3 linked regions of the Pelodiscus sinensis genome follow. The protein of the gene in region 2 binds, or shares a complex with, the protein of the main gene of each other region. Links are inferred from orthologs where the notes say so. Each region holds a gene or a part of one and is shown on either strand. Other genes may lie near its edges. The genes, in order: AP1S1, AP1G1 and AP1M1.

Region 1 (3,743 bases), on a different chromosome or scaffold from region 2:
AGTGGGGAAGGTGGGAAGAGCTGCTGGGGAGGGCGGCTTCTTGGAGAGGGAGGAGGGCTCACCTTTTGTAGACCACCTTGAGGTCCCGCCACTCAAGGAAGCTGCACATCTTGGGCTTGCGGGCCAGCACCACCTGCATGAGCTCCCGCACCATCTTCTTCTTCTCCTTATCTGAGGTGGCCAGATACCACTTCTGCAGCCGCAGTTTCCCCTGCCGGCTGAATAGCAGCATGAACCGCATCTGCCATGGGAGGGACTGGCTCAGTGAAGGGTTTGAACCCATCCCTGGCCTGTGCCCCTACTTTCCCCACTGTGCCACAAGCAGCTGAACAGCCAGAGTCAGGGGCAGCAAGGGCCAGAGACTCGTAAGTGACAGCTGGTGCCACTGGAAGCCCCTAATCCAAGCAGAGGGGTGTGCCTGGGAGCAGAGCTCCCCATGGGGCCCATCCCCTAACCCCAAGCCACTCCTTCCCACCCAGGCTGCAGCACCAGCAGGGCATGGCCGTGGCATACGTGCCCAGACAGACACGGGCTGGGGCTACCCAGTATAACAGCAGTGAGCCCAGGTCTGGGATAGGTGGAGACAGGGAACACAGGGAATTTGGGTGAGGGGTAACTAGGAAGCTTGAGAGTGGGGCCTGGGAGTAAGGGCTCCTGGGCTCTGTCCCTTTCAGACCCTAGCACTGTCTGTCCCAAATGGGGGTGAGAGCCACTTTTGGGGGTCACCCTGATGGACCAGATGTCCCTTCCCCCCATGCAGTCAGATCCCATGGGATTCCCCAAACCAGGCTCACTGCCCCTGCAAGGTGTGAGCACCTACCCTGCCTACAGGTACATGGCCTGACCCCTGCTAATTACACTAATGACAACTGGCACAGCCTGAGCCCCAGAGGAGTTAACAAGGAGGCATGGAGCACAGCAGGCCTAGGATCCAGTGCCAGCATAGGGAGCTGGAAGAAGATGCCAGTGTTTGAGCTGGACCTGACCTGTCCTGGTCACCACTGTTAGTCATGCAACTCGCTGAAACAAACCTGCTAGGCCTGTTTTCTGGGGCAGGCTCCCCACCCCAGTGACCCTATGCAGCCCACTTCTCCAGATCACAATGGCTCCTGCTTTTAAATGGGCTCTGACCCTGAAACCCTGCCAATGAGTGCAAGCAACGCTTCTGCAGTACAGGTGCTGTCTACACTAAGGACTGCAACACTATAGCCCCATCGCAGCAGGTCAGCTATCCTGGCCGCTCACACACACACACACACCCTGAAATGGGCAATGCAGGTTCTAGCTCCACCTGGGGCTGCTCCGGAGTTTGACTCTCTTCCTCGTCACATCTGCACCATCACATGAGACTCATGCATCAACACAGCATCGCACATGCCACCCCAATGCCTGCCATGCAAAATGCACAGCTCCTGACACATGGCATTCAGGTCCAGTCTACCCCAAGGGCTGCCACAGGGCATAAAACCATCTCCCAGTAGAATCACAAGCTGCCTTCACACACAGTAGCTCAGGTACTGGCATTCCCCTGCATGCACTACACCAGGCCTGGGGGTGCATGGGCCTCATCATATGCTGGGGCAGGAGCAGCCTTGTCCCTCATGGTTACAAACATGGATGTCAGGTGCAGCCCCTAGTGCGTTGCCTCAACTCAGGGGTTCAGTCGCACTCACCAGCCTGCCTCTGGCGTGCGGATGCTGTCCACACTAGGAGTGGCAACAGTGAGAAGCCTTGTCCCAGATAGGAGCCATCTAGTGGCTGTGTCAAGACCAAGGGCAGGGGGGCAGCTGTTCAAAAGGCAGCGTGTTTGGCAGATACACCCCAACCCCCACTTGTGGGAATGGGACTGAGCTGCACAAACAGCCCCTGGCAACCGCCCCATCACCAGCTCGCTGCCACGGGCGCTGTGCCCCAGCGGCTCCCCCGGCCCAGACCCCCCACTTGGGCTGCAGCCCAGCCCCGTCTCGGGGGACCCCAGCCCAGCCCCCCTTGGGTTCCAGCCCAGCTCCCCCCGGTGCCCCCTCACCATGGCGCCGCCTCCCGGCCCCTGGGCCGCGCTCAACCTGGCCAGGTACGGAGCCGGGCCCGGCCTCCCCGCGCTACGCATGCGCCAGTGCGGGACAGGCGCTACTTCCGGGAGGGGCGGTGGAGGCGTTCCTATGGCAATGGGGGCAGGAGGAAGAGGGCGGGGCCGTTTCCGTGGCAACGGGGGCAAGAAGGAGGCGGCGGGGAGCTGGTGCTATGGCAACGGGGGCAAGAGTGAGTGGGAGGGGAGCCGCTCCCATAGCAAGGGTGGGCGGGTGCTGTGTCATGGGAACGGGGGAATGTATCCATGGCAACAGACCAAAAGGGAGGGGCGGGGGCAGGAAGGGTCGGGGCTCTGCAGTGAGGCAGGCGGAGTGAGCGGGGCCCCAGGGGAGGGGCTGAATCTGGGGGGCTTGAGGGAGTGGATAGGGCTCGGTCAGGAGGGGAGGGCTGGGGGCCATGGATGAGGAAGGGGACTCGGGGGAGGGAGCATGGCTGAGTGGAGAGGGAAACACAGAGCAGTGTGAGTTTAATAAAACCAGCCAGGCCCAGCAAAGGGGCCCATGGGGCACAGAGCCCATCCCAAGGGCCTTAGCACATCCCTGGCACCTAGCTCGGTCCAGGGAGGGATCATGGCCCCCCTGTGGGGCTGGTGGTGCAGGGCCTGGAAGAGGTGTGCTCCTCTCTTACAGCCAGTGCTCACTCCACTGCTATGGGGCATGGCTGGCCCCAGAGCCTGCTCATCAGATCTTGCTACAGCCTCCTTCCCACAGGCTGGGCCCAGGGCTCAGGCTAGGGAACAGGCACAGCCACAAGGCAAGGACCACACCATGTTTCCATAGATATTTTATTAAAATATACATATGCACACCCACACACAAGCATGTTCCTTACAACTCACTGCTCCTGTTGGGCAATCCTGCTTCCATGCAGTAGGGATATAGGTCAGGCAAATCTATGGGGTCCCCCACATCCCTTGCCCAGCTTGCATAGGGAAAAGGCACACATTACTTTAAAGGCACTACTGCAATGGAGTCTGGGAGGTGGTAGTGGGCTATTTAGATTCCCACAGCACATACTATTCCTTTAATGCCAAAGGGGAAAATGCTAGGGTTGAGAAGGAAAAAAGAAGGGGGTGGAAGGGAATGATATACCTCAGCTGCCAGTCCCTTACCCAGCCACCATTGGATTATTTTTAGACATCCACTGATTTTTGGGGGGTGATGCGTACTGGCTGGTGAGAGCAACTAACCCCTGACCCTGATCTGCATGTGCAGCACTGCTGGGGACACGTGCCGATTGCTTCACCCAGCTTCCTGTACTGCCAGGGAGTGACGCAGGCAGAGAAGGCCCCCTGCAATAGGACTCTGTCTGGCTGCTAGAGAGCAGCTCTTGCAGGAAGTGGAGCATGCTCAGGGCTGGGTGGCTGACTGAGAGGCCCTCAGGGAGAGGTAACTGCATCTGTTTGTCCACACAAATCTTGGAGGAGGTGGTGATTAGTTTGTGCTTCCTATAGTGAACAAAGGTTATAGCAACATCTCTGGCCATACCTCAGCCATCCACCCTCTGGCCCAACATTCCTGCCCCTACCCCTCAAAAATGCAAACAAAGCTAGAAATATATTATATCCTCTACAATATATTACTCTTCCATACACTCATGCCCAGTCCAGGCCTCCCAGTACTCCTGAGAACAGGGTTCCTGATAACAAACCCCCC
Region 2 (3,743 bases):
TATCCTGTCTGCCGACAGTGGTCAGCACCAGGTGCCCCAGAGAGGGTGGACCGAAGACAATGATCAAGTGATTTGTCTCCTGCCATCCCTCTCCAGCCTCTGACAAACAGAGGCCAAGGACACCATTTTATCCCCTGGCTAATAGCCTTTTATGGACCTAACCTCCATGAAATTATCTAGCTTCTCTTTAAACTCTATTATAGTCCTAGCCTTCACAGCCTCCTCTGGCAAGGAGTTCCACAGGTTGACTACACGCTGTGTGAAGAAGAACTTTCTGTTATTAGTTTTAAACCTGCTACCCATTAATTTCATTTGGTGTCCTCTAGTCCTTATGTTATGGGAACTAATAAATAAATTTTCTTTATCAGCCCTCTCCACACCACTCATGATTTTATAGACCTCTATCATATCCCCCCTCAGTCTCCTCTTTTCTAAACTGAAAAGTCCCAGTCGCTTTAACCTCTCTTCATATGGGACCCGTTCCAAACCCCTAATCATTTTAGTTGCCCTTTTCTGAACCCTTTCCAAGGCCAAAATATCTTTTTTGAGGTGAGGAGACCACATCTGTACACTGTATTCAAGATGTGGGCGTACCATAGTTTTATACAGGGGCAGTAAGATATTCTGGGTCTTATTTTCTATCCCTTTCCTAATAATTCCTAGCATCCTATTTGCCTTTTTGACCGCCGCTGCACACTGCGTGGACGTTTTCATTCCAGGGCCGGAACCTTCCTTCGCGGCGCCGGGCGGGCCCGGGCGCATCTCGCGGCAACACTCCGAGCGGGCACGAGAAGGTGTCTGACGTCATCATTGCCTGCCACGGCGCCGACTCAGCGCTCCTCGAACAGGAGTTTCACAGCTGCTTCCGCCTGGAAAAGTAGTTCCCAACGGCCGCTGTCCCGGTGCCCGCGAGCGGCCCGCTGCCCGGGAGAGCGATCGGCTGGGACCGCAGTGCCGGCGGGGCGCCCTCCCTCACGAGGTGGGGCCGGGAACGGCGAGGAGCCAGTCCCCGTCCTGCGGATCCCTACGCCTGCGGTATCGGTGCTGAGGCCGCGGAGCCGCCATTTTGGATGCCTGGCTCCTGCTACCGCCGCTTCCTCCGCTGCAGGGACCCGGCCCGGTGAGTGGGGGCGGGGGCGGGAAGGTCCAAGCGGCCCCGCAGCGCCCACGGCGGGACCCAGGCCCCGGCCCCCAGCGGCCCCGCTCGGCTCCCCCCCCCCCCGGGCTGGGCCCGTATCCCGCCCCCCCCCCGGGCTGGGCCCGTATCCCGCCCCGCTCGGCTCCCCCCCCCCCGGGCTGGGCCCGTATCCCGCCCCGCTCGGCTCCCCCCCCCCCGGGCTGGGCCCGTATCCCGCCCCGCTCGGCTCCCCCCCCCCCGGGCTGGGCCCGTATCCCGCCCCGCTCGGCTCCCCCCCCCCCGGGCTGGGCCCGTATCCCGCCCCGCTCGGCTCCCCCCCCCCCGGGCTGGGCCCGTATCCCGCCCCGCTCGGCTCCCCCCCCCGGGCTGGGCCCGTATCCCGCCCCGCTCGGCTCCCCCCCCCCCCCGGGCTGGGCCCGTATCCCGCCCCCCCCCCCCGGGCCCGTATCCCGCCCCGCTCGGCTCCCCCCCCCCGGGCTGGGCCCGTATCCCGCCCCGCTCGGCTCCCCCCCCCCCGGGCTGGGCCCGTATCCCGCCCCGCTCGGCTCCCCCCCCCCGGGCTGGGCCCGTATCCCGCCCCGCTCGGCTCCCCCCCCCGGGCTGGGCCCGTATCCCGCCCCCCCCCCCGGGCCCGTATCCCGCCCCGCTCGGCTCCCCCCCCCGGGCTGGGCCCGTATCCCGCCCCCCCCCCCGGGCCCGTATCCCGCCCCGCTCGGCTCCCCCCCCCGGGCTGGGCCCGTATCCCGCCCCGCTCGGCTGCACGCCCCCCCCCCCCCCCCCCCGGGCGCAGGGCCCCGGCCCGCTGGGGCCCTGGGCGCCGCCTCCGCCCCCCAGCGCCCCGCCGACAGCACCCGCCTCGCCCCTCTCAGCGCCTCTGGGTCCGCGCTGCGCCCCCTCAACTTCCCTGCAGGCAGCCGCACCGCCCCTCTCCCCGCACTGCCCGCACCCCGTCCCGCTGCTCTGCCCCTTCTCTTGATCTCCTGGAGTGGAGCCTGCTGCTCTGGCCCTGCTCTTCGCTGGCAGGTCGTTCGCCCCTGCGGCCCCGGGGTGGCAGCTCTCCTGTGCTAGCCCTTGGGGAAGAGCGCGTGTGTGTTCCTTTGGGGTGATGCTTGTGCACAGAGGGTAACACTGCACTCCTCCTCCTGTTTCCGAAGGTGAACGGAGTACTCTGCAGCTGTACTGCTCGAGGAGTTTTGTTTGTGCATAGCCCCATAATTATATCTATCTAGCTCTTGGCAGAGCAGACTGCCACAGTCCTGCCTAGACCAATTTACAGCAAGCTGCAGGTGCAGACTTTTGCTGCTGCTTCTTTAAGGGTTTGTTTAATTCTTTTTCAAATTATATGGCATTAGTTGTTGCTCGGGTGCTGATTCTTGGGTGTGGATTAATGCTTAAGTCTTTCCCAATATCAGACTTTGTCACTTTATACATTTTGATTTTTAAATGCTGTGGTGTTGTTTATTGCTGCACTTGATGTGTGACATGCTTGATGAAATGCTGTAGAAGCACTATGTCCTTTAAAGTGCTATATTGTCCTGCATTTTGCTTCAACTACCCCAGACTAACACGGCTACATTTCTATCACTATGTCCTTAGGAGAGATGGTGTATTGAGCAGAGCTTGACAAATGGGCTTGAAAAATATACTTGACACCTGCTTGCTTATTAGTCAGTGTGAAAAGTAATTCCGCTACCTTGGTTCCCTCCAGACCAAGCAATGCTGTAGTGCATTTTCACTGTAGTGAATTTTAAGTCAGTCTTCTATTTAGCATACTTTTACATAATAACTTTGTCTCCTGTTTGTATATTAACTTTTTTCCTTTTCTGGCTTCACTCCATTTTTCTCCCCTCTTTTCATTACTATATTATAGTGTATATTTTCTGGTTTTAATTGTCTGTTTTCTCTTTTCTTTCTCTTTTCCCCTCCCGCTACATCCCTTTCTCTCTTCATTTACACTGAACGCGCTACTGTTTGCACTTCAATTTTTTTCGCACTCAGTTGCCAGATTTTCTCTCATTTTCCTCACCCAAACTCTCTGCTGATCCATTCCCTCATCTACGGATCATGAAAACTTTATCAGACACCAAAGAGCTGGCAAGAGAGCTCAAATAAGATTGGAGACCCTGCTCTTGTCACCCCACAACACACTCCCTTTTCTCTCTCTCCCATATGCTGGGAGGGGAGGAGGTATTTAAATTACTAGAAAGACATGATTCCTGAATGTTTAGGAACTCCAAGTTCCCACTAGTAGGCTTATGATGAATTTGAGACTTCACCCAATAATCCTTTTCTTTTTCACATTCCTCTGCTTCCAACACAGTCCCCTGTCTGTTCCAAGGATAGGGTTTCTGCTAATCTAGCCCTTGCCTAGCTGCCTCCATGTTTTGGTGTCATAACTTCCCATGCTGTTGCTCTTTAGACTTGCCAAACAACAGAGGGACTATATATGATTCTTGTCAGCTTCATTGTTGCTCAGAGGGTTCTGAATAGCAGCAAAGGAAAACTGCTGAGACTGGTCACTTGTTACATCCTAGCTAGGCAAAGCTGTGAGCAGAACAGGAGGATTGGAGCTGTCAGTCTGCAGACTTATAAAGGAGTGCGTAAA
Region 3 (3,743 bases), on a different chromosome or scaffold from region 2:
TTAATGAAATACATCCTAAAAATCTGCTTCCTCAACAATGCTCACAAAGCTCACAATATTTGAATCTAGCTTTCATGTTGTATCATTTTCTGTGCCTGTTTATTATAAGATTGTCAGTATCCTTGTCCTGTACAGCACAAAATAAACATCAGAAACGAACACTGAAAGATCTTTATATAACCACCTATAATCCAAATATGCCATTTCTGCACAGCACTACATAATTAAAAGATTTCCATATCTACATAAAACATATGTTTAGTTATATGAACAAATATCACTTCCATACTCACCTGAACCACCTTGTAAAGAAATGAAAACACCAGAGAGACACAAGCATTCTTCTTAGAAGTAGCAACAACTGAAAAAGTATGTTCAGGAATTGGAGTTTAAAGTTACACTTTTTAAAAAATGCTTATAATTAAATACATTTTCAAAACGCATTTACTATATTATTACAGCTGGCCCAAATATTAAGGAAGCAGCAATGACATTCCTCTTTCCAGAGTCATTTGATATTGAAAATTCTGGGGTTTATGTTATTTTTGATGGTTTAACTCCTGGGGGCAGAGGACTAAAAATTCAGGAAATACTTATATTAAATTGGCACTTTAACACTTTTATACACGTTACTGGAATAAGGTATGTCATGAAAAAACTCCTATTTATATATTTTTTGCATCTTTGTAAATCTTGATCAATAAAATTCTTAGCAGTAAGCCTGTTATCCTATTACTTCCATTCAAGTACAAATTCTGAAAATCCACCATGTTCATCAGTTTCACCATACTAACAGTTTGACACTTTAAAGGATACGATATAAATTGTTGTGTTTAATCCACATAAAACGTACTCCTCCATGAGCTAGAATGGGAGAAAGTGTTCCCTCCTCCTCTTTTTCCATAAGAATTGGCATGAAGTGCTCCACCTCAGACATATCCACATCTCCACGGTAATTCCGGCAGATGAGGACCTGCAATAGACATGCAACAGAAATCTGAATAGGTTTTAAAAACAAATGCTGAAGTTATCATCTGACACATGGGAAGTACTTTTAGGCAGTGGAACCCCAAAATTCTTCACTAACTGAATGACAAACTGTACATTGAAATCTTTCATTCGCAACTTAAGCATAGCTTTTAGAATCCATTCAGCAGCTATTAAATAGCATGTATCAATTAGGGATGGAACATCATGTTTAATTAGTTAACCAGTTAAACATTAAGTTAACAAGTAAATGATTAAATGGGGGCACACAGTCTAACTCACACTCCACAATCCCACAAGGGCTGGGAGCCAACAGTCCCCCTTTCAGCCCCACAGAGTTGGAATAGCCAGCGGACCTCTTCCAGGTAATGGTTAACCATTACCCAGTAGAGTATCACCCATTAAGGCTACGCCTAGACTACACCTCTCTGTTGACAGAGAGATGTAGATTACGCACATCGAAACTGCTAATGAAGCAGGGATTTAAATATCACACGCGCTTGATTAGTATAAATATGGCCACCGCTCCCGCCCCCCCCCCCTCGAAATTGCCGTTTTTTCAAAAAAGCTCCGTCTAGATGAGGGTCTGTCGAAAATAAACCCTTTTTCAACAGATCCTGTATTCCTCAAAAAATGAGGTTTACAGGATCTGTCGAAAACGGGTTTATTTTCAACAGATCCACGTCTAGACTGCCTTTTTTTGGAAAAAGCTCAGTTTTAAAAAAAAAAAAGCAGCAGCCATATTTATGCTAATGAAGCACGGGAGATTTAAATGCCTGCTTCATTAGCAATTTTGACATGCGTAATCTACATCTCTCTGTCGACAGAGAGGTGTAGTCTAGACGTAGCCTAAGTGTGATGCTTACCTGGTAACCAGTTACCCGTTCACATCCCTAATATCAATGTTGGGAACAGAATATACTTAGATGATAGAACAAAACCTCAGAATGTACTTAAATATGCAGAATCTCATAGACTTTAAGGTCAGAAGGGACCATTATGATCATCTAGTCTGACCCCCTGCACAGTGCAGGCCACAGAATCTCACCCACACCTCTTAGAATAATCCTTTCACCTATGTCTCAGATATTGAAGCCTTCAAATACTTTGAAGACCCCAAGATGCAGAGAATCCTCCAGCTCTGATCTGTGCTCCATGCTACACAGGAAGGCGAAAAACCTCCAGGGTCTCTGACAATCTACCCTGGAGGAAATTACCCCAAATCTAATTACCCCAAAATGGAATACGATGAAATATGGAAAGTTAGCTAAAGTGTCTCTGTAGCTTCAGTTTCCACAAGCAGTGGTGATCTCCATTTCACTTACCCCAAAATCAAACCCACTTCACTTGCATGAGTTTTTATTCACGAAGGAAGAGGATAAAAGGCCCCAGAAGGGAGAGCGGGAGGAGGAAGGGAGCCAGCTACCAAAACCAGCACTTCCTGCACCACTGCAGCTGATCAGCAGCACAAAGTCTAGCCCAAAGCTTCCGGCTGAAGCAAGGCAGCATTCTCGGCAGGCTCCCGGCACGCCTGAGGCCCCAGGGCAGGCTGGAGGAACCGGGGTCCCCACCCCAGGCGGGGGAGGGGGACGCACCGAGCGAGGTGGGGAGGGAGCATGGGGGTGTCAGAGCCTGAGCCCTCCCGCCGGGCCCCTAGGGATGCGGAGGGGCCCGAGCCCAGCGCGGGAACCCCAGGCCAGGCCGCCCCGGCTCCGCACCTTGCCCTTCAGGTCCAGCACGTACACGGCGCTGGCGGACATCGCGCCCCGGCTGCTCGGCGCCGCTGCGGCCCCGCTCCTGGCCGGAAACGCGGCCGCTCCGGCTGCCGCTCTCCACCGGCTAGGCCAGCTGCAGGGGCGGAAGAGGCCTCTGGCAGGGCGGAGGGACACCAGCGAAGGGGGCGGGGCCTTCCCGCGGAAACACGCCCTGCGGCGGAAGCGACTGAGGGAGCGGATGCACCCCCGCCCTTCTGGCCCGCGCTCTCTATGGTCCCCGTCGCCGGGGGGACGCAAAGCGGCGCGCTAGCCTGAGCGGCCCATAGAGAGCTGGAGGAACAGGCTGGCGCCTGGCTTCTTCCCAGGAGGGACATGGCCCTGCAGACCTGGGCCTGGTTCCTAGGCCTGTGGGAGTCTTAGAGGCTAGGGGCAGAAGCAGGTTTTTCTGCCCCTTCCCCCCATCCTCTTGTGGCATGCACTGACCTCACCCCTGTGCAGAATATGCAGTTGCATAAGACACCCCAAAAATGGGGTCACCCCATGGCCCTTCATGTCCACCCACCTGCCTCTTCTTCTCCCCGTCCTGGGGCTCTGCTTCCTCCAGAGAGCATCTAATTAACACGGAAAAAGCCGGCCAGACCTATTATTAGCTTTCATTAGTGTTACTGAAGATTAGAAAATGACCTCTCTAAAAAATCATACACCCAGCTGCCATCGGGTATAGGAGCCTCACTTTAATGGTAGTGTGAAGGATCCCATAAATCTTAAGGGTGGCCCCAATAAAGCCTCCACACACACACACACACACACACACACACACACACACACACACACACACACACACACATCTCTGCCCCCACACACACATCTCTGCTTTTGGTCACTTCTGCTCCTTATTTGGCCTTTTGGATGCCACTAACTGTCCCCCTTTGAAAAAAATAAACAAACGGTCTAATAGCATCTTAAAGACTAACAAAACATGTAGATGGTATCATGAGCTTTCAAGGGCACAACCCACTTCTTCCAATGACAGGAGTATTG

What was found.
Region 1: the proteins of AP1G1 (region 2) and AP1S1 are in contact, whole or in part, in a crystal structure (PDB 1W63), measured with the Mus musculus proteins. The link is inferred for Pelodiscus sinensis from reciprocal best matches to the Homo sapiens genes AP1G1 and AP1S1. Residues at the interface, in NP_001288140.1 of Mus musculus: Leu7, Arg8, Ile11, Arg12, Arg15, Leu54, Tyr55, His57, Met58, Gly60, Tyr61, Lys78, Phe79, Thr80, Arg83, Ile84, Leu87, Met90, Leu91, Asp94, Glu95, Thr115, Phe117, Leu123, Cys124, Gly127, Cys128, Tyr152, Lys155, Lys156; in NP_031483.1 of Mus musculus: Met1, Leu14, Arg15, Leu16, Gln17, Lys18, Trp19, Leu21, Ala22, Thr23, Asp25, Arg28, Lys29, Arg42, Lys45, Met46, Cys47, Ser48, Phe49, Glu51, Lys56, Gln74, Asp75, Asn76, Glu77, Leu78, Ile79, Leu81, Glu82, Leu83.
Region 3: the proteins of AP1G1 (region 2) and AP1M1 are in contact, whole or in part, in a cryo-EM structure (PDB 7R4H), measured with the Mus musculus proteins. The link is inferred for Pelodiscus sinensis from reciprocal best matches to the Homo sapiens genes AP1G1 and AP1M1. Residues at the interface, in NP_001288140.1 of Mus musculus: Arg24, Glu25, Gln28, Lys29, Ala32, Arg35, Ser36, Arg39, Glu40, His64, Phe65, Gln67, Leu68, Gln97, Val99; in NP_031482.1 of Mus musculus: Ser289, Asn318, Asp319, Ala320, Asp321, Ser322, Trp334, Pro336, Glu337, Asn338, Ser339, Gly361, Leu362, Pro363, Ser364, Val365, Glu366, Ala367, Glu368.

The regions. Positions count from the first base shown.
Region 1 is NC_134734.1:7,729,676-7,733,418, forward strand, and holds the start of AP1S1 (AP-1 complex subunit sigma-1A), read right to left. Parts: upstream 2,186-3,743; 5' UTR 2,108-2,185; coding exon 2,027-2,107; intron 242-2,026; coding exon 63-241; intron 1-62. UniProt on the Homo sapiens protein: Subunit of clathrin-associated adaptor protein complex 1 that plays a role in protein sorting in the late-Golgi/trans-Golgi network (TGN) and/or endosomes.
Region 2 is NW_027466015.1:561,331-565,073, reverse strand, and holds the start of AP1G1 (AP-1 complex subunit gamma-1), read left to right. Parts: upstream 1-809; 5' UTR 810-1,120; intron 1,121-3,743. UniProt on the Homo sapiens protein: Subunit of clathrin-associated adaptor protein complex 1 that plays a role in protein sorting in the late-Golgi/trans-Golgi network (TGN) and/or endosomes.
Region 3 is NC_134729.1:31,353,975-31,357,717, forward strand, and holds the start of AP1M1 (AP-1 complex subunit mu-1), read right to left. Parts: upstream 2,892-3,743; 5' UTR 2,748-2,891; coding exon 2,706-2,747; intron 2,336-2,705; exon of another isoform or gene 2,313-2,335; intron 974-2,312; coding exon 817-973; intron 362-816; coding exon 294-361; intron 1-293. UniProt on the Homo sapiens protein: Subunit of clathrin-associated adaptor protein complex 1 that plays a role in protein sorting in the trans-Golgi network (TGN) and endosomes.